Linked DNA regions of Bombyx mori. The protein of the gene in region 1 purifies or fractionates together with the protein of each later gene. This does not show direct contact. Links are inferred from orthologs where the notes say so. Each region holds a gene or a part of one and is shown in the gene's direction. Other genes may lie near its edges.

Region 1 (3,185 bases):
GACATCAACGCGACGCCAAAGGAGGGGCGGGTCATCGAAGCGAAGTCCGTGTTCACCGGCCACACGGCCGTCGTCGAGGACGTCGCGTGGCACTTGCTACACGAGTCGCTCTTCGGATCCGTGGCTGACGACCAGAAACTGATGATATGGGACACCAGGTAACACCAACAACTAACTTTTTGAGGTTCTTTTTTATTGCCCCTTGTAGGCAGACGAGCATACGGCCCACCTGATGGTGAGTGGTTACTGTCGCTCACGAACGTCGGCAACGCGTGGGGCAGAGCCCAGCCACAGCCTACCATTTGAAAAGTTACAATTGTAAATATAAAACATTATAAATGAGACAAGATCAAGACATACTGATTATGTAATTGTGAATTGTACAATACTTATTAACTAAGAGACCTATTTAAGACAATCATGATAATAAAATCATTAGTTTGAATATGAAAGTGCTTTTCCTATCATGGCATGATAACACAAACAGGAGGTTGTTTTCACATATTTCTGCAGATAACTTGTATTTGGTATTGACCTTCATTACTTGTTAATAATTACCTTTAATTATTTTTTTATGATATAATGACACATTTCGTTTAAGTGTAATAATGAGGTATGCATATATGGTAGTAATAATTAGTAAAATAGAGCACAATTATGTTGTAATTACAGATGTAATAATACATCGAAACCATCTCACACAGTGGACGCACACACCGCTGAAGTTAACTGCCTCAGTTTCAATCCCTATTCAGAGTTCATTCTTGCTACTGGCAGTGCGGATAAAACGGTAATGTTACTAATTTTAATTCAAATATACACATCTAACAAGTCAAAACTTCCATAGCGTTTTGCTTATTATTTAATTGTAATATTTATATATCAATTTTTTGTAATTTAACGAAACTTGTGTTCACAAGCTTTGAATTCAATCAGCTCATGATACACTGAAAAATGAAACTACAGTTTTAATATCATAATAAACTAAATAATAAATAGCCTATCCTTAATAATAGGTTAACTACTATAACTATAAATATAATTTCCGTCTAGGTTGCGCTTTGGGATCTACGCAATTTGAAATTAAAGCTACACTCGTTCGAGTCGCACAAAGACGAAATATTCCAAGTACAATGGTCGCCACACAACGAAACTATTCTCGCGAGCAGTGGTACCGACCGAAGGTAAAATTACAGATAATTGAATTTTCAAACTTTTTGTTACATCTTGTGTACAGACAAGAACTCTCAAAATAATAGTATTAAACGGTAGGTAAAATAAAATCAACACCCATAAAAAAAACAGATATGGAATTGAAGTTGCAAAGTAAATATAAAAGCTCAGACTTCTTGTGGGCTTACAGCCACTTTTTGGGCTGATTTTAAAAATCGTAAACATGTACATCTAATTTTTACGCTTTAAATTTGGGAAAATGCACAATACTCAAGAACTGGGTTTGCTGATTGCTGTACGAGACAATAATTATTATGAAAGTTACTTCATTACTTGTTTTTTTAGACTCCATGTATGGGACTTGTCAAAGATTGGCGAGGAACAGACAGCTGAAGATGCAGAAGATGGACCCCCAGAATTATTGTTCATACATGGAGGACACACCGCTAAGATATCTGACTTCTCATGGAACCCTAATGAACCATGGGTCATCTGTTCCGTCTCTGAGGATAACATTATGCAGGTATGCTAAAATTATAGGTTGAATGTTTTTAGCTTAGATAGGCACCTTTTGGGAGAAAGCTGTCAGAAAACATTAATATTATAGTTGATCTTAATGCATAAAATATAATTGCTTTGCTAAAATATAATTTCTCCCTAGCACATAATTATTTATTGGTGTTAGAACTTCTTGTGAGTACACGTGGGTAGGCACCACCACCCTGCCTATTTCTGCCGTGAAGCAGTAATGCGTTTCGGTTTGAAGGGTGGGACAGCCGTTGTAACTATACTGAGACCTTAGAACTTGTATCTTAAAGTGGGTGACGCATTTACTTTGTAGAGCTCGTCCACATATATATGCCATAAAAAAAAAAAAAAAAACTACAAATCTAGGCTATTTGATAAATATTTCGGCACATCATCTCGGATCCTTCTAACAGTGCTTTTAGGTACCCCAAGCACCGGTCATCGTTCTTGTCGAACCCGTCGCTTGCGACTCACTGAGTTTCTCGCCGGATCTTTTCAGTCGCGGTTCAGACTTGGTGGTAGCTTCTTAGAATAGGTAGAAAAAAAATATATATTTGGTATTTGTTGTACATTGATTCGGTGCGGTATCTGTACAGGTGTGGCAGATGGCTGAGAACATCTACAACGACGAGGAGCCGGAGACGCCGGCGTCGGAGTTAGAGTCGGCCGTCAACGTCAACCACGGCTAGTCGTCCTGTCTGTACGACTCATGTGCTCTGTGGAGAGTGTGAAATAACAACATTGTTTAACATTCACTTTTTAATCGTTAATCTGTGAGATAACTCTGCTACAACCGAACAATAATGGGGTACAAGTTTTCGGAACTGTTCTTAGTTCTATAGAATTTTTATCATGTAAACGTTATACAAAACACTAAAATCTTGTTGGAAAAAATGACATTTATTAAAATGCTTTGTAAATATCATTATGAAATTTAACTAACTAATGATCTGCTATTCTAGCTAATTATCTGAGTTTTTTCGAAATATTACAAACAGCATTTTTTACTTCTAATTGAAATTACCACAAAATTTTATATTTTCAATATTTAAATGCAAAAAGTTGTCCCGTTTTTCATACTTTTCAAACTATTTGACAGTAAACAGTATATTAAACATACAAGTATAGATGTAGTGAGAAACTATTTTCCTTCGGGAAAACTCTTGATCTTTATCGGAATACGATGACACCCGAACTGTCAATGAATGATCGTATTAAATGAGTGACATTTTCATATCCATTAATAAGGAACTTTATTGTTTAGTCTCAAATGTCAAAATGACATTGTATAATATAGAGATGCTGCAACCATAACAATTATTACTTAAAACAGGATATTTACTAGGGTATTATACGAAATGAATTCCCGATATTTTTAAGTAATAATTGTTATGTTCGGGATGTGTGGACATAAGTTTCGTCAGTATTATACACAATATCTGCCTTCAGATCTATACTTCCTTATTAAGTCTACGTACTTTACT
Region 2 (4,345 bases), on another chromosome or scaffold:
GCTACAGGTGCCACTATTGGTGGAAACACAGAATTTATTGCGCTTCGTTTATAATAATACTGCTTGGAATACTGGTTATCCGGGCCACGAGGTATTTCTGGCGTAGGTACAGACCTCGGGGACATAAGAGGAGGAAATCGTCCGTGAAGATTGTGTTTTCGACCTAACAAGATATCACGAAAAATTTTAAGCCCTTTAGAGATGTCTCTGAAATCCCACTTTGGCTTAGACATATCTTACACTGTAAATCAATCAATCTACAGGCAAAACTTTTACTGGTTTATATGCCAGATTTATAAAATTAATGAAAGTTTGTTTATGCGGTGATGCCAATCAAAGTAAACATAAATAATTAATCATATAAATCATACGTCAATTATTTACTACTTTTATTTCAATTGTTTTGATGTATGAATTATAAAAAACCTGAAACTCCATCGCGGAGGCAGCAGTTGGCGCTAGTCTCTTAATAAAAAAAAAAAAATTAATCAATCATTATGAATGATATATTAGGTATTTAATCCTCTAAGTCTTTAAACGTTACCTCCGCTATTACGTCCGGAGTTGAGCATTTCAAATTTTTCATTTTTACTTTCTCGTAATTAGTACCTACCTATTCACTGACTTTTACATGACGTTTAAATTTCGGAACTCCCGTAATAGAAATATTCAGAGCTTGCCCTTTGCTAAAGAGCTACATATTTAATACGAGATTTCTTTTTTACTGGTGGTAGGACCTTTCGTGAGTCCGCACGGGTAGGTACCACCACCCCGCTTATTTCTGCCGTGAAGCAGTAATGCGTTTCGGTTGAAGGGTGGGGTAAACGTTGTAACTATACTGAGACTTTAGAATTTATATCTCTAGGTGGGTGGCGCATTTACGTTATAGATGTCTATGGGCTCTAGTAACCACTTAACACCAAGTGGGCTGTGAGCTCGTCCACTCACCTACGCAATAAAAAAACAAAGATTACTTCATAGACACGAGCTTCGAGCTTATAATTTTTTTATTCTCTAATGGTCCATTCAGAATACATATTATTATGTCTAACTTTCCTGACCTATAAAACGAATTCCGCACTTGACCAACACTAAATTCCGTTGCATTTAACTTTTCCTACAACAGACGTAAGGGTTTTTGTAAAAGATTTAGCTGTATGGACTATGACTTCTTTGCCTGTGGATCGGACGAATTTTAAAAATAAAAAATCACTAAGTGCGTTAAAAAACTATAGGTATTTACCTAAAACAGAAAGTAATACTTAATTTAAGAAATTGAATATTATATCTTCGTCCTTAAATCACCAGAACAAAACCAGCTTATCTCTGAGAGTAAAAGAGTTTAATCATGGTTTGGATATCAAACTTAAGGAATAACAAAGTAAAACTTTCCGATCTTACATCATAGTGTTTATGATAAAATAAAACTGTGATTCAGGTTTTAGAACGTGTTTAGAACTCCCGCGTATTTCATCAGCTGTCAAAAGTTCATCGTGTTGTTGAATACATAGTTGAGTAGAATGTGTAATTAAAACTATTGAAATATTATAAAGATAAGTACAACTATTAAATTGTTAATAAATTCAAATTATAGTGGTTCATGTTGTGATTTGTTGGTTAATAAACTTTATAAAATGAAAGCAAACAAACCCCTCGATGAAACTGATGTGACTCCATCGAAAAAAAAGCTAAAACAAGCTCGTCTTCCTTTCAAACTAATAAGTGATATTTCCCCTAAACCCAAGTCGCCGCCGACTAGGAAAAGAAAGCTTTCGAATTCTGATACCGAAACAGTTACAAAAATAGGAAAAATATCGAAAGAAAATGATGTTCAAGAGCTGGTCATAATAAGCGACGATGAAAGTAAAGACTCGAAAAAAATGTTAAGCGATGACAAAATTGTAAACCCGTACGTTAAATTGGTTGATGTTGCTTGGAAGAAAAAACAAAAATTGAACAGTGCCAAAAGAAAGCAAATAAAAAAAAAGAATTCAACAGACCTACCCAAAAATGATCAGAATGACACAGATGAAAAGAGCGATGAAGATAAAATGAATGTTGATGAACCAGTGGATAGTCCAGAAAAAAATGTAGACATGACAATTTTAAGTAACAGTACTTCAAGAGTTACAGATAACGAAATTGTTATATTGGAGGACTCTAGTGATCAATTTGATACTAAAATGAAACTAGAAGCTGATATTGAGCCAAAAGCAAATGGCCGGAAATCTCCAAGAGAATCTAAATCTAATAAAATTGAACAAATTGAAAAGTCTGCTGAATACCAAAAGTCACAAAAAGAGAATCCATTAAAAAAAAGGAATGAAAAAGATAGAGAAAGTATATCTTCAGATGAACTAGAAGAAGCTTCTGATGATAGAGACAAGATTGCTGAAAAAGCTTCAGCTGAAATTCAAAAAGAGAATAATGTAACACCAAAAAGGAGCAGCCGGAGTGCAACAAGAATAGCTCAAAGTAACGATGCTAAGAAGTCTCCAGTATCCAGTTTGAATGAATCTCTCTCTTCAGATCCTACATCACCAAAACATAGCAGGAGTTCATCAGTAACAAACAGTCAGGCTGATGAATCTTTGAATGACTCTATGTCTGGTAGAAAGAATTTAACACCTAAACAAGTAAGTTTGAAACTGAATTAAAATAACAAACCTTTATATCTTTTTAATATTATGTTACTGCATTATAAGCTTGATGTATTGAGTCATAGATGAGGGAGAAACTTCTACAATTAAGATAAAAAATTGTCTTACTTGATAATTATTAGTTTAGCTTATGACCATACCCTGTTTCTCTGCTGCTTGCCTTAATAATTTGTTTCAACACATAGTCTCATTGTATTTGTTTTTTCTTTAGGACTAAATTTCATGTAAAGCTGAAATATAATTTTTTATTTATTTTTAGTCTGTCACTGAAACCCGAAAATGTCTCATAAAAATGTTTGTTGTGAAAGAAAAACACACTAACAAACATATTGTTGCATCTAGAGTAATATTTAATTATCATTGTATATAATTTAATATTATTTTTATTTCTCTAGATGGGTAGACAAGTGCAAGGTTCAATCGATGTTGAGTGGTTTCAGAGGCCAATAGATATAATAGTGAACATTATCCAGTTATACAGTGATATAAATGTTTATAAATTGGAAATGAACAAAATCATGCGAATTTTGTTTATTTTTACTTACTTAATTTACGTTATACCCAAATAGACCTGTACATAGGTCTTATCCTTTAAATTATCTAGACTTGCATTTATACTGTGTAGAACATTATTATATCCTTTTTCCATAACAGTTACAGAAAAAATTAGAATCTGCCAAAAAGAAAGAAGAGAGAGAGAAAGAAAAACAGGAAAGGGAGAAAAAAAGACAGCAAGAGAAAGATGAGAGAGCCAGACAAAAACAAGAGAAAGAAGATATGAGAAAAAAGGAAAAGGAGGAAAAAGAGGAACAGAGGCGAAAAGAAAAGGAAGAGAAAGAAAAACAAAAAGAGCTTGAAAAAAGTAAATATAAAATATAATCTAAGACACATTATCAAATCACATCAAAGGGTCAAAGTCCATGTTTTGAGTTACTTATTCGTTTTTGAACATTAGTAAAGTTTATACAAAAATGAGGTATATTTATATCTTTATTCATTACTAGCTGACCCAGCAGACTTCGTAGTGACAGACCTCAATTGATAAATAAAAGACCTAAACTTTTGTATAAAATAAACTTAAAACAAACAAAAAGAATCTGTCCCACGGGGGACACATCAAAGGAAAAACAAAATTGTTTGTTCTTATATAATTCTGAGCATTTTCATATTTATTCACCTTTTAAACCTTCTCTGGACTTCCACGAATAATTCAAAATCAAAATTAGCCAAATCGATCCAGCCATTCTCAAGTTTTAGCGAGACTAACGAACAGCAATTCATTTATATAATTAACTTCCAGAAATAAGGGATGAAAAAGAGGAGCAGAAAAGGAAAGAAAAAGAAGAGAAAGAAGAACAGAAAAGAAAGGAAAAAGAGGCAAAGGAGGAAGAGAAGAGAAAAAAACAAGAGGCTTTAGAATTAGAAAAACAAGAACAAGAACTCAAAAAGAAAAAGACTGTTGAAGCATTTGTCAATTTTTTTGTTCCAAAACAAAAGTCGGATAAAGACCAAGCCACAGTTGGTTCAATCAGTAAAAATAATATGCTATCTAGTTTTACTTTAAAATTAGACATGAGATTAGCACCTACAACTAGAGCTGAATTGAGTGATGATAAGAGACATCAGTTGGACAATTTTATTAAGGAACAGAAGTGCAAAGAACATGAACTATATCTTAAATGCCT
Region 3 (4,345 bases), on another chromosome or scaffold:
CAAAAAGTCATGTCAAATGTCATATTCGCACTTCACAGTAGGTACCTACTTCACACACACTTCCATAGACCTATATACTTCAGTGCACACTTCACACTCACAGGCTCTCTCGTCTCACGCTTTTTTTTTCTGGCCTGTGGCCTAGCCTTCTACGAGGTCCCCGCGCCTAGGGGGCGCGTGGAACATCAGTGGCTGGTAAGCATCTGCGTCAGCCGAAAGGTGAGACGTCCGCGGTCGCGGCCCACACAGTCCGTGAGAACCGGGCGCACCGCTTCGACGATGCGGACGGTTCATCAAACGACGAGATTGTGCCTCCAGCATGGACCGCTGAGATTAGAGCCTCCGCGCTCGGATCACTCCTACACCAAGGCACCCTTCCCCCTTAGAGCGAAGACGTCTCACGCTTTGGTATTACCTTTTTTCTGCCTGTTCTAGTAACCTCGAGGGGTTATTCTAGATTCACTGAACTATTAAGTGAGCTCGCGGGGCTTAAACCTGAAGCTGTTGCTAACACGAACCGCTTGCCGAGCCTTTCGTCACAAGCGACCGATCGACGAGAACGATGACTGGTGCTTGGGGTACCTAAAAGTGCCGTTAGGGGATCGGGAGGATCTGAAATGACATATTTTGGGCGACGTTGACTGTTTACCATTTGGTCCGCAGGATCGGAAATGTAAAAAGCGGGAACGCGAGGTGTGAATTTATTTAGAATTTTAATTTACATACTTACATATTCTTTGGATTTAAGTGTGTATTAATTGTGGCTTATTAGCCATTTAACGTGTAAGTTCACAAACTTAAGACTGCATTTAACGTGTTTAGATTTTTTTGTTTGGTTTGTATTAAGCTATTGCATAGCTTTTATCGTGGACTTTGAGCGCGGCGACTGAATTAAGAAATTCCGTAAGGAAAATAAAATCTAACAACCCTCACTCAGTCTACGATGTAGCTCAAACATTCACACGTTGCGCTTGTGTAGTGTTTGTGAATAAACGCGCGGCGCGACGTCGCACTGCATGCGCATCATGAAAAGTCTGCCCATCTCTCTCTCGCGCGGTCTATGTAGCCCTTATATGAGTGTGAAGGGGACAGTTACCTAATGTTTTGCTTTTGTTAATGTTTATAAATATAGCGTGGTCTTATTTTATTATTGTTTTAATATTAAATTATTATTGTCTAATTATAATTGGATAAGTTGATAAAAAATGCTGTGCAAATAGCTTTATCGTGGCAGTCCCCGAGTGCTACACGTGTTTTTTTTTTGTCACATTTAAACAAAAAATATTTTCCCCTCATATTATTCGATTCCGTTGCATTTAATTACGTTCATAATCATCTTCCAATAACTCATCATCATCGCATTCCGGTCTATTTATACTTTTTGTCCATTAGAAAAAAGATTTGGCCTTTAGAACACATCAAGATTTGGCTTAAAAGACTAAAATTCAGGCTGTCAAACACTTTTAAAGGTGTCCTTTGCCTAAATAATTAGCTATAGTGTTTGTGACACTCTGTGATAATTTTTTGCTTTTGTCAGTTTGCGATTTTCGCGCCCGGTTGTAGTGTAATGTAATTACATTAATCTTCAATTGTGAACAATATTTAAACAATTCAGTCAATAGGTATACATTGTACTACAAAATGTAAGAATTTATTGAGTTCCAACAAGTTGAAAGTGTTCTTCTTTGGTTTTCATACATACTTTAATCTTCGAAGTATCTAGTTTGTAATGTTCGTATGTTTTCAGCCTTCATGCAGTCAATTTATAACTAAGTTGTTCAACCAGTGTACAATTGCTGGTTTCTGGTTTATTTGAATATATTTTCTAACTTCGCAATCTTGGTCATCTAGTTCAATATTGTTTTAACTGTAAATAAAAATGGCCCAGTCGGATGATGCCATGGACGTTGCCGATATTGGCGACAATTCCGTGAGTAGTTTAATTTTTTTATTAATAAACTAACTAACTGAATTTTACTTAAACTAAAACATTTAATGAATCCAGACTAATATTACCACACCCAATTTTATGAATTCAGAATGGCTCTTCAAGTGACACGACATCTTCAAGAGGGAAAGAAGGTGATTTCGAGAGTAAGATTGAAACTGATCGTTCCAAGAGATTCGATTTTCTACTAAAGCAAACGGAGATATTTTCTCATTTTATGACCAACACTCCAAAATCTGGTGGGAGTCCTCCAAAACCAAAGGCTGGCAGACCCAGAAAGATAAAAATAGATACTGAACCTGAAGGTCCTGGAGAGTGAGTATCAATATTACAAAGTATTACTTGTGACAAACTATAACATCTGTGTATCAATAATGTAAAATCTACTTGACAAATTATACAAGTATGGTGAAAAAATATAAATAGTATTATGTCCACTGAATGCTGTTGAAAGATAGATTAATAAGATTTCAAAACTTTTTTTTTCATGTGTCAGTCACAGACATAGAAAAACTGAGCAAGAAGAAGATGAAGAACTTCTGGCAGAAACAAATTCAAAACAAAAGACAATATTTAGATTTGAAGCATCTCCACATTACATAAAAAATGGAGAAATGCGGGATTATCAAGTTAGAGGGCTTAACTGGATGATATCATTGTATGAAAATGGTATTAATGGAATTTTGGCTGATGAAATGGGTCTAGGAAAAACTTTGCAAACAATTTCTCTACTTGGATATATGAAACATTTTAAGTAAGTTCAAAATTGTTACATATGAGTCGACTATTATCAAAGGCGGCAATCTGACTTTTGGACAATGATTGGTAAATCAGAAAAACGAATTATTGACTTTGTATTCCATTGGCAGTCACAAAACTCTTCGGAACGACATCTTAGATAAATAACAGGTTAACTATTAACCATTATTTAATGCAGGTTTTGAACCGTATTCTTTGAAGGAGACGATTATATTCAAATAAATCTGTATTGACATATCAATAAATTTTTTTTGTCCAAATGTACAGATTGCCGCCTTTGATAATAGACGACTCATATGTAATGTTCAGTGTGTTATAAAATATATGCAAACAGTTCAATATATTTATGGGATTTCCAATTTAAGTGCCTGTGTACCCAATACACAAAAAAATAAAAAGTTTGATAGCAATCAAGTGTAACAACTTTACTTCTGCTTTGTATTCAAACAGTACAATAGTAAGTTATGTTATCATTTATTGCCTAGGTTGTATTATGTAAGTTAAAGGTGTGATTATGGCTTTGTGATAGTAATAACTAGTCTTAGGACAGGTTAAGTAGTAAAAAAGTCTGGACGTGTTTTTTTTTAATTATTGAAATCCTAAACTTTTTTGTATAAAGTATCTGTACCAACAGTCTAGAGACTATCAAAATCACTTGGTAGGGTATGCTATGCAATGCAGACCATGATTAATGATGAGTCTTAGTGTCTGCCACAGTGAAGCTTTAGTTGCATGGGCAGTTCCATGACATGTATCTTGAGCCCATTGGAAGAACTGTTGCACCAGTTGGGATTACTGTTTTGCTGATTAATCAATTTTTTGTTTAGATAATTTTCTCATGAACTGAAAACATGTTAAGTGTCAAAGTATTTTTATTTTTTTATTTATTGCTTAGACGAGTGGACAAGCTCACAGCCCACCTGGTGTTAAGTGGTTACTGGAGGCCATAGACATCTACAACGTAAATGCGCCGCCCACCTTGAGATATAAGTTCTAAGGTCTCAGAGTAGTTACAACGGCTACCCTACCCTTCAAGCAGAAACGCATTACTGCTTCACGGCAAAAATATGCAGGGTGGTGGTACCTACCCATGCGGACTCACAAGAGGTCCTATCAGAAGAAAACAATATTAGTATCCCAATATTTTGGGATCCCCAGTGTACATCTACTCAGAATCATATGTATAAAGCTACCTATGATTCTGAGTAAGATTTTTAGTTGGGCACTAAAGCCATAAAAGATTGAAAGTAGATTTTTAAATTATAAATTTATTGTCAGTGTAAAGTATATGATTTTCACCAAGCTTTGAAGTGCCTGTGGCCAATAAGAAAATGTACCCAGTGTATTTGCAATGATCTGCATGGTGAAATTGTTAAAATACTGCAGGCAGTTATCAATGCTTCTTAAAGTAAATAAAGTAAAGTAAGTCCCTAACCCACATTCTGGAGTGGATTTCATGACAAAGGCAACACCATCATCATGTTCTAAAGGATAAGAGATATGTACAGCTTACTCATGTCAAGTAATGTCATCTTACCTGTACTGGCAGGTAAGATGACAATTTTTATTAGGAAATTTGGTTTTAACAGTGGGTGTGTTGTAACAGTGTTGTTTGTTTATACTTTAAATAAAGACACT
Region 4 (3,700 bases), on another chromosome or scaffold:
AAGAATTTAAGAATCACTACGAAAAACCGTGGTACTATTTGCCAAATTCAAATGATTATTAATGAAATGTTTTTTATGATTAAATTGATTTTTTTTTGTAGTCGTTGGCTCTTTGGAAGATCTGTGTCATAGTGCCTTCAACGCACGACATTGTATCATATTTACCTAAGCAAAGTTTCAGTAGTAATTTATAAAATCGGTTAGTGAGATTTACGTTTACGTCATATAAAATCTAATAAAAGGTAGTCTAGAGTCTAAAGTAGTTTAGAAGTGAGGTCGTGACGCGTGCGTGTGCGTTACAGACGGCAGCCTGCTGTACGAGCGCGTGCTGTCCCGCGGCGAGCTGGAGGCGCGCCGGGCCGAGCCCGCGCCGCCGCTCAAGCGCCGCGCCTACGACGACATCAACGGACTCGACAGTCAGTACCGCCCCGCACTCGATCACTTACCACCCGCATAAAACACGTTGACTGCCGTGTAGGTCATCGGTGCCCTACGCGGCGCATTGAAGTAATTTTTTTTTACAAGCGGCTCGCTCCGGCTCCGCTCTGATCTTTAACAAAAATTTCAACGATATTTGACGTTGTTTTATTCTTAAAAATAAAATAACACTTATTGCGGCATAACTAGTAACTAATAGTTAGACATATGCAGTCGCGACACTTTTTTGTAAATAATAATGTTTTCTACAAAGTCGTAGTACATCAATAGTTTTCGCAGGGCACGCGATGGAACATTTTAGGTAATATTTTTACACCTTGGGTAACATTATTGGAGTTTTAGTAAGGATCCATTTTTTTTCTTTCAAAAAATACTATAGCCTATGTCACTCGGGAATAGTTTAGCTTCCAAACAGTGAAAAAATTTTTCAAATCGATTCAGTAGTTTCGAAGCCTACTCAATACAAACAAACAAATCTTTCCTCTTTATAATATTAGTATAGATTGCCCTTGTAGGCAGACAACCATACGGCCCATCTGATGGTGAGTGGTTACCGTCGCCCATGGAATTCAGCATTGCCAGGGGTGCCTACCGTTAAGTACTCTCTCCACAAGCCTCGTTTGAAGAAGGATATGTCATAGCGCTCGGGAGACACCGTGGAGGGAAGCTCATGGTTTATCGATTATATCGATTTCTCTCTTCGATCACCTTACTAATACACGGAATATATAGTATACTGAAAAAAAAACCGGTAGATACTCAGAATGAATTCTCTATTTCTAAGAGACTTAAAAGACTAAAACATACATTAACAAACAAAAGAACTTAGTAGAACTTAGTAACAGAATTCGATATAATTACTTCAGTGCGCCGCGTAGGGCACCAATGACCTACATGGCAGTCAACGTGTTAACTTATATTCAAACGACCAACGAATTATATCATATAAAAAAAGATTTAATATTTTCGCAAGTTAATTAAGCTTTTAATTAAATAGATAATATTGTATTTAGAACAATGAGTAATAAATGTATAATTTGTTAAATGCTTACCTTTACGGAAACAGCAACAACACCAGGTTAGTAAATGAGAATTATAAAAATAAATAAATGTGGGGAAAAAGTAAATGTTATGAATTTCATAAGTTTATGGAAAATGTAGTGTGAGGTCTTTGGTGTTGTGAGGGTTTGTGTGCGTTGGTCGAGTTGTCCTCCGGAAATCTCGTCACAGTGGTCAATAAAACACTGAGTATGTTTATGTTATTCGCATCAGCGACCGCGTCGGATCGCTGCCCGTTAACCACTGACGTGTATAGCTTATTACTATTACTTTTACTGCATTGTAGGCTTAAGCGGGGCGGAGTATCACTCCCCAACACTAGGAAACAAAACTATCAAAACGTTATGTGACTGCATAGCTAAGGAATCACAATACCCTTGAGCTTTAATTGTTTCGGAAACCATAGGAAAAGTCCTTTCAAAAACCTTCCATTTCGTAAAGTCAAAATCTCAAAAGATCATTCTGGCCCAGAATGTCACATAGGAGATTTCAAATTTGCAACAACGATGTGTGATTTGTTAAATTTATATTTTTTATTTTTTTATTGTCCCTGTAGGCAGCCGAGCATACGGCCCACCTGAATGGTTACCGTCACCCATGGACTTCACCTACCGTTGAATGTTCGTACTGTACCTTCGACAGTTGAATGTTTTCCATTGTTCTTGTTACAATTGTACATATATGTATGATGCGGTTGTCGCAGGAGTGGGCGAGCGGTCGCGCGAGACGCTGGCGCCGCCCGCCAAGCGCCCCAACAAGCACCCGGCGCCCATGCAGCGGCCCTCGCGCGAGCAGTACGCCGCCATGTGCGCGCGCGCGCAGGCCACCGGACAGCCGCTGCCGCCGCACGTCTTCGCGCACGTACGTACCGCTCACTCTCCTCACTCCTACTCATGCGAACCACTGCTCTTGCTAGCCCTAGTATATATTTTATAAGGAATTTTATGACCTGGTAACTAAGACCTTTAAGTCATGTCTTATTTTAATTTATATTCTTAATTTTATTAAAAATGATAATATGGAGTGAAATGAAATGAAATGAAAATGATTAATTTGGGAGATTAATGAACTGGGATGAAATTAAATAAAACGAAATGACAGGGGATGAAATATAATCTCAGTAAAATAGTGGTATTTTACTGAGATTTTTCAGTGGACTTTTTGGAGGATCCCGAGAAGTTACGTCCAGCAGCTTTGTTTCATTTTCCCACATTTGTGCACAGATATCAAACAGTTAATAAACCACCGTTATTACACATTTAAACCTGAAGAAACACTAAATAGACAAAATAAAACAAATCACACAACTTCACTCCTCGCGTTCCCGCCAAAAAGTTCGCTAAGGCTAGTGTTAGCAAGGCCCCTCAGATTGAGCGCCTTGAGCTCACCTGGAGCGTAGCTGGAATAGGCTCTTAAGCTACCAGCGAATAGGTACGAGAAAAATGCACTAATCGACTGAACTTTTTGTACCAGATAGTAACGATTCATCCCAATATACAATTTGTTTTATTATTCGCGAGTTACTAATTTAGCATGCCTAAATTAACGATTTCAATTAATAATTTAGAATATAGAAAAACATATTAGATTTGAATTATGTTGACCTTGTTTTCTAGAAGATTGTCCTGTAACTTATAACAACCGCTTTTAATATTAATAAAAAAAAATTTAATAATAAATAAAAAGATAGATTTGAGTTAATAATAAATGTACGTGTTAGGTAAATGGCAAACCGACAAACATCACAGGACGCGGCGGCCGCCGACACGTGATCTCGTGGATGGACGCTCCCGACGACCTATACTTCAGAGCCACCGATGCGGCCAAGTGAGTGCTTTCTAATGTTTAACCGTTGTACGTGCTCACCGAGCCTATAGGTACCGTGAGAATCGACATTATGTCATATACGACTCTAACAAAAACGAACGTAAAATGCTGCCAAGTAAAGGTATTAGAGGTAAAATAATGGTAATTGAAAGAAATAGAAGCTCTTTTAAGTTTCAGACCTAAAAATCCATCCTCATTTATTTAGTCAAAGTTTCGACTCAATGTTACATGGCAATGTTACATTTTACTAAGAATGTACCTAAGACGTGAGACGCGAGTGGCGCCGCTGAGTTTGTCGCAGGACCTTCTCAGCGGTAGTAGATTCATTCGCGAAGCAATTGCTATTGAGTTGTAAGGTCTCCTTCGGAGGCGCTCG
Region 5 (4,254 bases), on another chromosome or scaffold:
ATCATTCCGAATCAAATCGAAACCAGGAAGAGGATAACTAGTGGAAAGAAGATGAGGCTTTAGCCAGCTCTCGGATATCAGCATGAACGTCAACATTATCAAAACTTTCCAGAATTTCACTTTAATGACTGGGCACACTTTGCGCATTAATGTGACATAAATTTAGTAGGCCCGAATTTTCGCTAAAACATCGTCGTACACAGTCACCAAGAGTACCAGATACTGAACAAAAACTATCCTCATTTAACGAAGAAACAGAAGAAAGAGATTCATTGGCAGAAAGATAAAGGTCGTCACATGAACTACTCATAAATAATTAATCAATGCAATACAAATACAATGCACAATTTAAATATATACTATTATCTTATAGATAGACTAGCGACCCGCCCTCGCTTCGCTTCGGAAACATTAAAACACCCATGAAACCAAAAAAAATAAATAAAAAATAAATAAAAAAAAGTAGCCTATGATCATCAGGGACAATGTCGGCTTCTAATGGAAAAAGAATTTTTCAAATCGGTCCAGTAGTTTCGGAGCCTATTCGAAACAAACAAACAAACAAATCTTTCCTCTTTATAATATTAAAGTAAAAGTATAAGTATAGAAAACAAATTTTATAAAAGTTATTGATAACTTAAAGTAAATGCAATGAGTTCAAAAACAAAAAAACAAAAAGATGATTTCTCTGCACCACCCGCCAGCCAATACACAGTGTATACATAATAAAATAAAAAAAATTAAAATAAAAATACAGACTATTTTCAGCACACAAAATCAAACCAAAAAATTAAAACAAATTATAATAAAAAAAATCCTAAAATCAAAAAAGGGGGGCCAAATTTACAGAGCCGCATAAGACAGTTCTCTTTCTATGCTGCCAACTCTATGGTGCTCCCATGGAGTTAATAAGTACCTACAAGGTGCTCCAAATTTTTTGACACGAAACTTTTGACATTAGTGTACTGTATTACCAAGATTAGGGAAATGAGAACGGGACTGCCGGCTCTATACAGACCGCTGCAAAAATTTCATAGGTCTGATTATTGTTTTCTTGGTGTTTTATCTGTTGTTTATTTACTTATCAATCAGTAAATGCGTTACGTAATGTAATGTGAATGGAAGCAGTGTGTTAAATATAAAAACTACAAAATTTTGTGGTTTATGATTATCTTGTACCTTACTGATACCACGAGTACGCTATTAATTTTAAGCATTTGACTTTTCTCTTTTCAGTCTCGGTTTCCTATGATTTCTTTCGAAATGTTGTTTAATTTTTTTAGCGTATCACATCCCCGCTCGATGTCCGTGGCTATAGTCCCTTTGCTTAAACAACTTAAATGATTGCTACTAGTCGTCCTATAAATGTGCAACACAAGCTTGAGAGACTTCGATTGCGAAAGAAAATATGCTTTTTAAATTTTATTTGAACATTACATTTTCCGGTGGCTGTAAATAAATCAAAAGAGCAAATTACATAATTTAGGGAGAGAAATTACAATTTGTGCCCTAATTTAAAATTTTTAGTCTCCGTTGCAAATGTATGGTAACATTGCAGTTTTTTATTTTTCTTCTTTCAAACTTCAAGTGTAAAAGAGATAGTGAGTGTTGCTGGCTCGTCGAGAAGTGACGGCGGCATCAATTTCTGAATTAATTACCATTTGTCGCAAAAACTGCGCGTCCTTTATCTTTTCTAGCCAAAAATCTATCATCTTATTCCAAGTTGTGTTTGATAGTAATCTAAATGGCATCAGATGAGGAAGTGGACGGCTCTTTTGCAGGTAATGGTTTAGTTTAGCTAGCATGTCATAGGTAAGCCGCGAATAGCGGTATCATGTGTTTACTTGCGGTGCAATTAAAAATTTAATTTTTTTATTTTGAACTTGACGATTCCCTAAGAATGGTCTTCTTTCCGGTTAATATTGGAACGAAGAAACCATTGGTTGTCATCGGAATGACCTAATTGTTGTGATGCGATTGTAAATATTTTTGAGTGGCAGTTTGTGACAGAAAAGAACATGCGATATCCCCTCATTACTACTTAACAAAATGGACGCCGCCAAACAAAGGGATTAGTGACCTTAGCGCGAGGTGTGTGAAAATGTGGTTAGATACAAGATAAACAGTGTTCACCCAGACATTGGCAGGTGTGTTTGATGTTAAGACTGGTTTGACCACTGTTGTTGTCTTGCAGGTGATGAGGAAGTAGAGGAAGGTGAGGGTCAAAATGACAATTCCGGAGATAGTGACGAGGCTCCACCAAAGGTAACACTTTCCTAACAAAATTTTAGTGAAATAGAAAAGTTTTATTTCATACTTGTATACTTTGCCCTCATCTTATTTATGATCATCATTTTCATCATAATAAACCAAGAGCTCTACCCATAATTCCAACTTGAAATGGGTTACCATATTTGAAATGAGTTACCATATTTGAAATGAGTTAGTGTCATCATGCTGTTTATACTTTATATGTTCTAACTATATGTTCAGGCTTGCAGGCTAGACAAGCCGTTAATTTGTAATGGATACTTAACATGTTAAGGTTTGGTGTTAGTAAGGACTGGTAAACTCTAAACTATGAGGACTCAGAACATTTTTGTTCTAAAATTTCAACCTTAAAAAGGCCAATTTTCACGACATGTATAACATGTCTTTTAATAGAATTTAATTTAATGTAAACACATTTTATTATTCAACCAAACAAAAAATAAAAAATAAAACACTTTCAGAAAAATATCAATAACATATGACTGCCAGTATCAATTTTTTGCAGGTTGTGAGTTGGTTAAAAAATTTAACAGTTAACTGTGGTGAATAGTGGATTGCTTTATTGTACTGTAAAAATAGACTGCTCATACCATTTACTAATACTATTTATGTATGTATGTATCACATCATTCAATCAATCCCACACTACTCAAAATAACAGGTATCAATGACTTAGATTGGCTAATGAATGTAATGTTTTTTCAACATCAAGGCATTAGTCTATTACTGTATGAGCTTTTAGAGCATTTCCCTACATATTCCTGTATTTCAAGTTTAAAAATAATAGTAAAAAAAATATCATGTAATTAGTTATGTCAATCTGGCTGATAATTATTTTTAAGTATCAGATCCCAGATTTTGAGCTGAAAATACTTATGGCTTATTTTCAGATACCCTAGTGTGTAATGTATTTTCGAGAATAATTATCATATAATTAAATAATTTATAAAATATATTTATAAACTTCATAAATCATTTAAATGAAAATTAGCAAACTATCAAAATCAATCCAGTTACCCAAAGTAGAAAGGGAATAAATGACCAATAATTATTCAATAAATATGAGCATTTCTTAATATAACACACAAAAATTCAAACTATAGGAAGATGAAGATTATTCCCCTGAAGATGGTAGAAAAAAGAAAAAGGGAAAGAAAAGGAAAGCCAGAGGAGAAGAAAAAAAGGGAAGAAAGAAAAAGAAGAAGCGAAAGAATGAAAGTGAAGATGTAAGTTCACAATGTATTTTATCATAGAATCATGTACCTACATTCTAAACGCAGAAGTAAATTTTTTATTAACTGTATTGTTGAAAAATTGTATGTTGCTACTCATTTCTAGATTTCTAGAGCTTATCTTAATTTTTTTTTAATATTTGAATAGTAGAGTAAAAAAAAGGCATGTATGCTTTACATTAACTTAATTAGTAATTACCATCAAATGAGACCGCCAAGTATCAAGTATATAAAATAGTTATGTTAATATTTGAATATTTGAAGATTTATTATTTATGATAATCTTATTGTCTATCAGTCTTATTGTCTAACGGTAGGCAGCGGCTTGGCTCTGCCACTGCCATTGCTGACGTCCATGAACGACGGTAACCACTCACCATCAGGTGGGCCTTATATGCTCGTCTGCCTATACGGCAGTAAAAAAAGACAATTTTTTTAAAATTTTCGATGGAACAGGATGATGATTTTGGCCTCGAGATGGAAGCAGAAGGTGACAGTGATTATGCACTGAGCGCTGTCTCTTCAAGCAAGAAATCCCGTAAAGGTCGAAGTAGCAAACACAACACACCATCCACAACTACAGCATCAGACTCTGGCTCTGGTATGTGTATGTTTTTTATTAAACATTTTTTTTATCTCTTGAATATGGAATTCCAAGTACCTACTAACTTGCATGAGTGTTAAATCCCTTACATGCACATAGAAATAGATAATGGACTTTAGCTAAACTCAAAATAATAAAAATGAGGTA
Region 6 (4,438 bases), on another chromosome or scaffold:
TGACACTTTGACATTTTTTTGTTTGATTTAAACAGGCAAAGTAAGCATAGCCCATGTTAATTGTCACGGTCAGAGCAACATCTAGGAGTTTTATAAAAATAAAATATTATAATGGTGTAACAGTGTTCAAAGTATTTGCATTATAATTATATTAATCATGAAGCAGAGTGTTTTTTAAATAGCCCCTCACCTACATAACCCAAGTCCCCTCAAATTTAACCGTCCAACACATTTAAATGTTTAGTTAAATATTAAATCAACTAAATTTTATTGATTTAACTTATTTCCGAGATCTGGCTTAGCCCAGCCTTGTTATAGTGACACTTAATAATAAATTAAATGGCATCACTGGCTTTTTTATTTACATAATCGTCGGCAGCGATAGTCTAATGCGTTATTTAACGCACGCTTAGTAGGTAATCTCACGGAGCCGAACCTGAAAGGATTTGCTACCAGTGGGCCGAGCAAGAGCGGTGCTTTGTTGTATCTACCACCGGATCGGAATCGCAGCCCACTGAACAGAAGCAGAGAGAAAATTAGCGGGCAGGCTAATGATATAACTGTGGTAATTGTGTTAAAAAATAAAATATAATCTTCGGATGTATATACTGACTTTTTATTTTTACATGAAACAACACAACTAACTACTTGTTGTTAGGCAACAACTATTCTTTTTTAATAAACTTATGATGGTTACAAATAGTAAGGCCAGTTCTAAGAATAACCTCTAAGGGAAATCGTAGAAATTTTATGACAGCTTACTGGACCTTTTGGATGAACCTGAAAACATTTTATTCGACATTAGCGTACTCTTACAAATTTATGACGACTGAAAAGGTCTACTTGGAGGCAGTTGAAGAAGAAAAGGAAGAAAGACAGATGACAGTGACAGAATGTGGAGAGAAGATTTTTTTTATCATAAAAAAAAAATCACGGTGCCCGCTATAGAAAGCAGAGTATTAAATACACTTGACATTGGCGAAATCTAAAAGGAAACGCCATAAACCTAAAAGATAGATAGTTATCTAAAAGCCTTTATAAAACTGATTGTGACATTAACATAAAAACCATAGTGAATAAGAATATTTAATTAAATATACCCTACATGAAAGGTCTTTATACGTTTAACTTTTAAACACCTTCATCATCTTACTTCGTTTTGTGTAATTCCAATTCATCTAGTTTCGTGTAGATTAAAAACAATTTATGTTACTTCTCTCAACGAAAAAGTCTCAGTAAAAAATCAAATACTTAGACTATATTTCATCCCGTACAATCTCGTTTTAATTTCATTTTAATTGATTAATAATAATATCTAAAATTCATCAACTTCATTTCATTTTGCTCCATTAAATTTTTCATAAAACAGATTTTACAGAATATTGGGGTGTACGGTACGATACCTTCGCTTTTCCAGTTGAAAAAATGGGACTACCGCTAGGTAAAACTTCAATTTGACACTTTTGTTTTGGCGCCAAATAACTATAAACAGTAAAAATAAGCTAGCTTCCTAACAATTATTGTAGAAATTGATTGAAATACATCTTATCTTATTTGGATTTAAATTTATATTATTACTTCGTTTACCATTTCTATTAAATTTTAAATATTAGAAAAAAATGAAGTTTGCGATACCAGAAATATCCTGGCATAATCGTGATCCAGTTCTAAGTGTAGATTTTCAGCCCAAAGCGGAACCGAATGACCCGTTACGACTCGCCAGCGGTGGAACAGATTCACACGTTTTGGTAAAACTATCTTTTAATAAGAACGAACAAATAATCATTTATATTTTTATCAGCGATTATTTATACTAATGTTATTGAAAAAAAATTGAATTTAATACTAAAGTAGGATATAAAGTCTATATTTTTTTAATACTAGATCTGGTATTTATCAACCACGGAGACGGGTTCAGTTCATCTTGAAGTAGCAGCTGATTTAACAAGGCATCAGAAAGCTGTGAATGTAGTGAGATGGTCACCTAATGGACAGTTATTGGCTTCTGGGGATGATGAGTCCATCATATTCATTTGGAAGCAGAAACTGGAAGAACTTTCTCCGGCAACTGAGGGTGAGGAGCAATATAAAGAAACTTGGGTTGTTTATAAGGTGAGATTTTCTTCATTATCTACTAGATATAATCTGGCTATACATATTCCACGTAATGCCCAATTGTTCTTAGCCTCATCTCTTTTCAGTTACATACCAACCAATACCAAGTATACACTTTCTTTTTTTTTTACAAAATTTCACTCTTGGTTTGCTATTAAAAACTTATAGGTATTCTGTTTTCAAAATGTCATTAAAAATGCATTAAACCAAAGAAAGCCCAGAAACCCTGATTTTCATTTTGCAATAGTATTTTTGTAACAAATATCTTAAACGTACACATTTTACCTAAACATGTGGCTATTTTGAAATGTGGTGGCTGATTCTTCATCTTTTAAAAAGCTAACCTAATTACAGTCAGTCAAAAGTACTGAACAAAAACAGAATTAAAATACAATTAATATGCAGTAATTGTCATGTTTACATGAATAGCATAATTATTTCAAATTTATAAAGAGTAATGGTAAGAATTATTCCACAAAACAGACTCTTCGAGGGCACATGGAAGATGTCCTTGACATATCCTGGAGTATGGACGGCTTACAGTTGGCTTCTGGCTCAGTAGATAACAAATTAATTGTTTGGGACATACACAGAGCTCGTTACACTACTATACTTAGTGACCACAAAGGGTTTGTGCAAGGTGTCTGTTGGGATCCTAAAGGACAGTACATAACATCTACGAGTACAGACAGGTAAGCTGAAAATAATAATTTAAAACAATAATTTAACAGAGTAATCTCATCATAAGTAGTTACAAATATTAATGATATCAAATTAGTTGTAAAAAAGTAGCTTCTATACCTGATGAAAATATCAAAAAGGTGATGATTGGAATAACAAAGTTAGCACCCTTGACTGCTAGACAGGATTGTTGGCTTGATGCCTGCTTTGGGCAATTTGCATCTAGGTGTTTAAATCTATATTAATATGTTCATATGAGTTTTTGTTTCTCATAGTAGAGGGAATCCTAATTTGATTAATTGATTATTCATTCAATATTATAAAAGACTTGAAAATGTAATGTAAATAGTTCATATCAACAGAGTGTTTCGAGCATTTGATGTATCTACCAAGAAGGTTGTATCAAGAAGCAGCAAAGCATCTCTCCCGTTCCCCACTGACCATCCTCTCCACGGCTCCAGACAACGGCTATACCATGATGACACACTCCAAACATATTACCGACGACTGCAGTTCAGCCCGGACGGCCTATACATTGCAGTTCCAGCAGGGAGAGTGGAGCCAGAGGGAAAACCTGATGTAAAACCAATCAATGCCGTGTATATCTATACGAGATATTGTTTGAAAATGTGAGTATTTTAATTCATTGTTTTCAGAATCCATAGACTCAGATGTGACAAGCTAACTTTTTGCTTTCAATACGGTTTCCAGATTTGAAATTGCACACAATTGCATGATAAGGTTGTTTTAAAAATGTTCAAGCTCAACAGTTTTATTCTGCTGATAGAAAATATCAGATTTATTTGTATGGCATGTGATATGTTGCAATTGGAGAACTCAGTTGACTTTCAGTTCAAGATTTCTTTATCTAGTTTAAATAAATAATAGCAGCTAATAGCTTCCACTCATCTATAATGCAAAAATTTATTTAACCAAGGCTCATGGTTGCATCTTCACTTGCAGCATGTTGCATGAGAGGCACTCATATAACTGTCCGTTACAGCCCAGTGTGTGTGGTACCATGCGGCGAGCCAGCCCTGGTGACCCGCTGGTCGCCGATAGGGTTCCGCCCCCGCGCCGCCGGGCCCGCGCCTCGCCTGCCGTCCCCGAGCGGAGCCCGGCACGTGCTGGCCGTGGGGACCAGGCGCTCCGTGTTGGTGTACGACACACAACAGAAGACTCCCATAGCCATAGTTGCCAATGTACATTACACTAGGTAACCAACTATCTTGATAATACAAAATAACAAAAAATTATTAGTAATAGTGGTTTAATCTTGACAGATAGATACCAATAATATTTTTTTTATTAAATGCTCAACATATCAAGTTCATAACATTACATCCATGATGTACTAGTGATATAGTTTTGTAAAATTAAAGAAAATTTCTGCTCGACCGATTGAGGCATGTGAACTCCCATGAGAATGGATCTTAGCCAAAAAGGAGTCGCAAATTTACCAACTGGAGAAACTTAGATACCTACTATAATCGATTTTGTTAATTTAAAATCTTGAAATTTATAAAACATTTCACATTAATGGATCTGTTTTGTGGTCACCAAATGCATAAACAAGCATGAGATTAGACCATATAGCTGATTAATAAATTTTTTATTTTTGTTTTTATTAATGGCAATCTGC

The links.
Region 2: the proteins of chromatin assembly factor 1 p55 subunit (region 1) and chromatin assembly factor 1 subunit A purify together in Drosophila melanogaster (affinity purification with western blotting; 3 studies listed by BioGRID, with this or other methods). This does not show direct contact. The link is inferred for Bombyx mori from reciprocal best matches to the Drosophila melanogaster genes Caf1-55 and Caf1-180.
Region 3: the proteins of chromatin assembly factor 1 p55 subunit (region 1) and chromatin-remodeling complex ATPase chain Iswi purify together in Drosophila melanogaster (affinity purification with western blotting; 5 studies listed by BioGRID, with this or other methods). This does not show direct contact. The link is inferred for Bombyx mori from reciprocal best matches to the Drosophila melanogaster genes Caf1-55 and Iswi.
Region 4: the proteins of chromatin assembly factor 1 p55 subunit (region 1) and metastasis-associated protein MTA3 purify together in Drosophila melanogaster (affinity purification with western blotting; 4 studies listed by BioGRID, with this or other methods). This does not show direct contact. The link is inferred for Bombyx mori from reciprocal best matches to the Drosophila melanogaster genes Caf1-55 and MTA1-like.
Region 5: the proteins of chromatin assembly factor 1 p55 subunit (region 1) and chromodomain-helicase-DNA-binding protein Mi-2 homolog purify together in Drosophila melanogaster (affinity purification with western blotting; 4 studies listed by BioGRID, with this or other methods). This does not show direct contact. The link is inferred for Bombyx mori from reciprocal best matches to the Drosophila melanogaster genes Caf1-55 and Mi-2.
Region 6: the proteins of chromatin assembly factor 1 p55 subunit (region 1) and chromatin assembly factor 1 subunit B purify together in Drosophila melanogaster (affinity purification with western blotting; 3 studies listed by BioGRID, with this or other methods). This does not show direct contact. The link is inferred for Bombyx mori from reciprocal best matches to the Drosophila melanogaster genes Caf1-55 and Caf1-105.

Annotation. Positions count from the first base shown.
Region 1 is NC_085109.1:4,082,580-4,085,764, forward strand, and holds part of chromatin assembly factor 1 p55 subunit, read left to right. Parts: coding exon 1-158; intron 159-672; coding exon 673-790; intron 791-1,053; coding exon 1,054-1,184; intron 1,185-1,518; coding exon 1,519-1,696; intron 1,697-2,297; coding exon 2,298-2,390; 3' UTR 2,391-3,185. UniProt on the Drosophila melanogaster protein: Core histone-binding subunit that may target chromatin assembly factors, chromatin remodeling factors and histone deacetylases to their histone substrates in a manner that is regulated by nucleosomal DNA.
Region 2 is NC_085127.1:6,282,020-6,286,364, reverse strand, and holds the start of chromatin assembly factor 1 subunit A, read left to right. Parts: upstream 1-1,436; 5' UTR 1,437-1,634; coding exon 1,635-2,636; intron 2,637-3,314; coding exon 3,315-3,522; intron 3,523-3,960; coding exon 3,961-4,345. Other genes in the region: uncharacterized protein LOC101735561, read right to left, coding at 1-13, 545-572.
Region 3 is NC_085119.1:7,657,713-7,662,057, forward strand, and holds the start of chromatin-remodeling complex ATPase chain Iswi, read left to right. Parts: upstream 1-1,447; 5' UTR 1,448-1,643; intron 1,644-1,747; 5' UTR 1,748-1,879; coding exon 1,880-1,930; intron 1,931-2,039; coding exon 2,040-2,263; intron 2,264-2,444; coding exon 2,445-2,702; intron 2,703-4,345.
Region 4 is NC_085131.1:3,871,321-3,875,020, forward strand, and holds part of metastasis-associated protein MTA3, read left to right. Parts: intron 1-302; coding exon 303-416; intron 417-2,200; coding exon 2,201-2,358; intron 2,359-3,217; coding exon 3,218-3,324; intron 3,325-3,700.
Region 5 is NC_085116.1:13,711,211-13,715,464, reverse strand, and holds the start of chromodomain-helicase-DNA-binding protein Mi-2 homolog, read left to right. Parts: upstream 1-1,366; 5' UTR 1,367-1,744; coding exon 1,745-1,781; intron 1,782-2,194; coding exon 2,195-2,265; intron 2,266-3,374; coding exon 3,375-3,497; intron 3,498-3,959; coding exon 3,960-4,104; intron 4,105-4,254. UniProt on the Drosophila melanogaster protein: ATP-dependent chromatin-remodeling factor which acts in nucleosome-remodeling by catalyzing ATP-dependent nucleosome mobilization. Involved in regulating transcription. Plays a vital role in development.
Region 6 is NC_085118.1:948,030-952,467, forward strand, and holds the start of chromatin assembly factor 1 subunit B, read left to right. Parts: upstream 1-1,447; 5' UTR 1,448-1,619; coding exon 1,620-1,748; intron 1,749-1,884; coding exon 1,885-2,112; intron 2,113-2,598; coding exon 2,599-2,807; intron 2,808-3,158; coding exon 3,159-3,425; intron 3,426-3,799; coding exon 3,800-4,012; intron 4,013-4,438.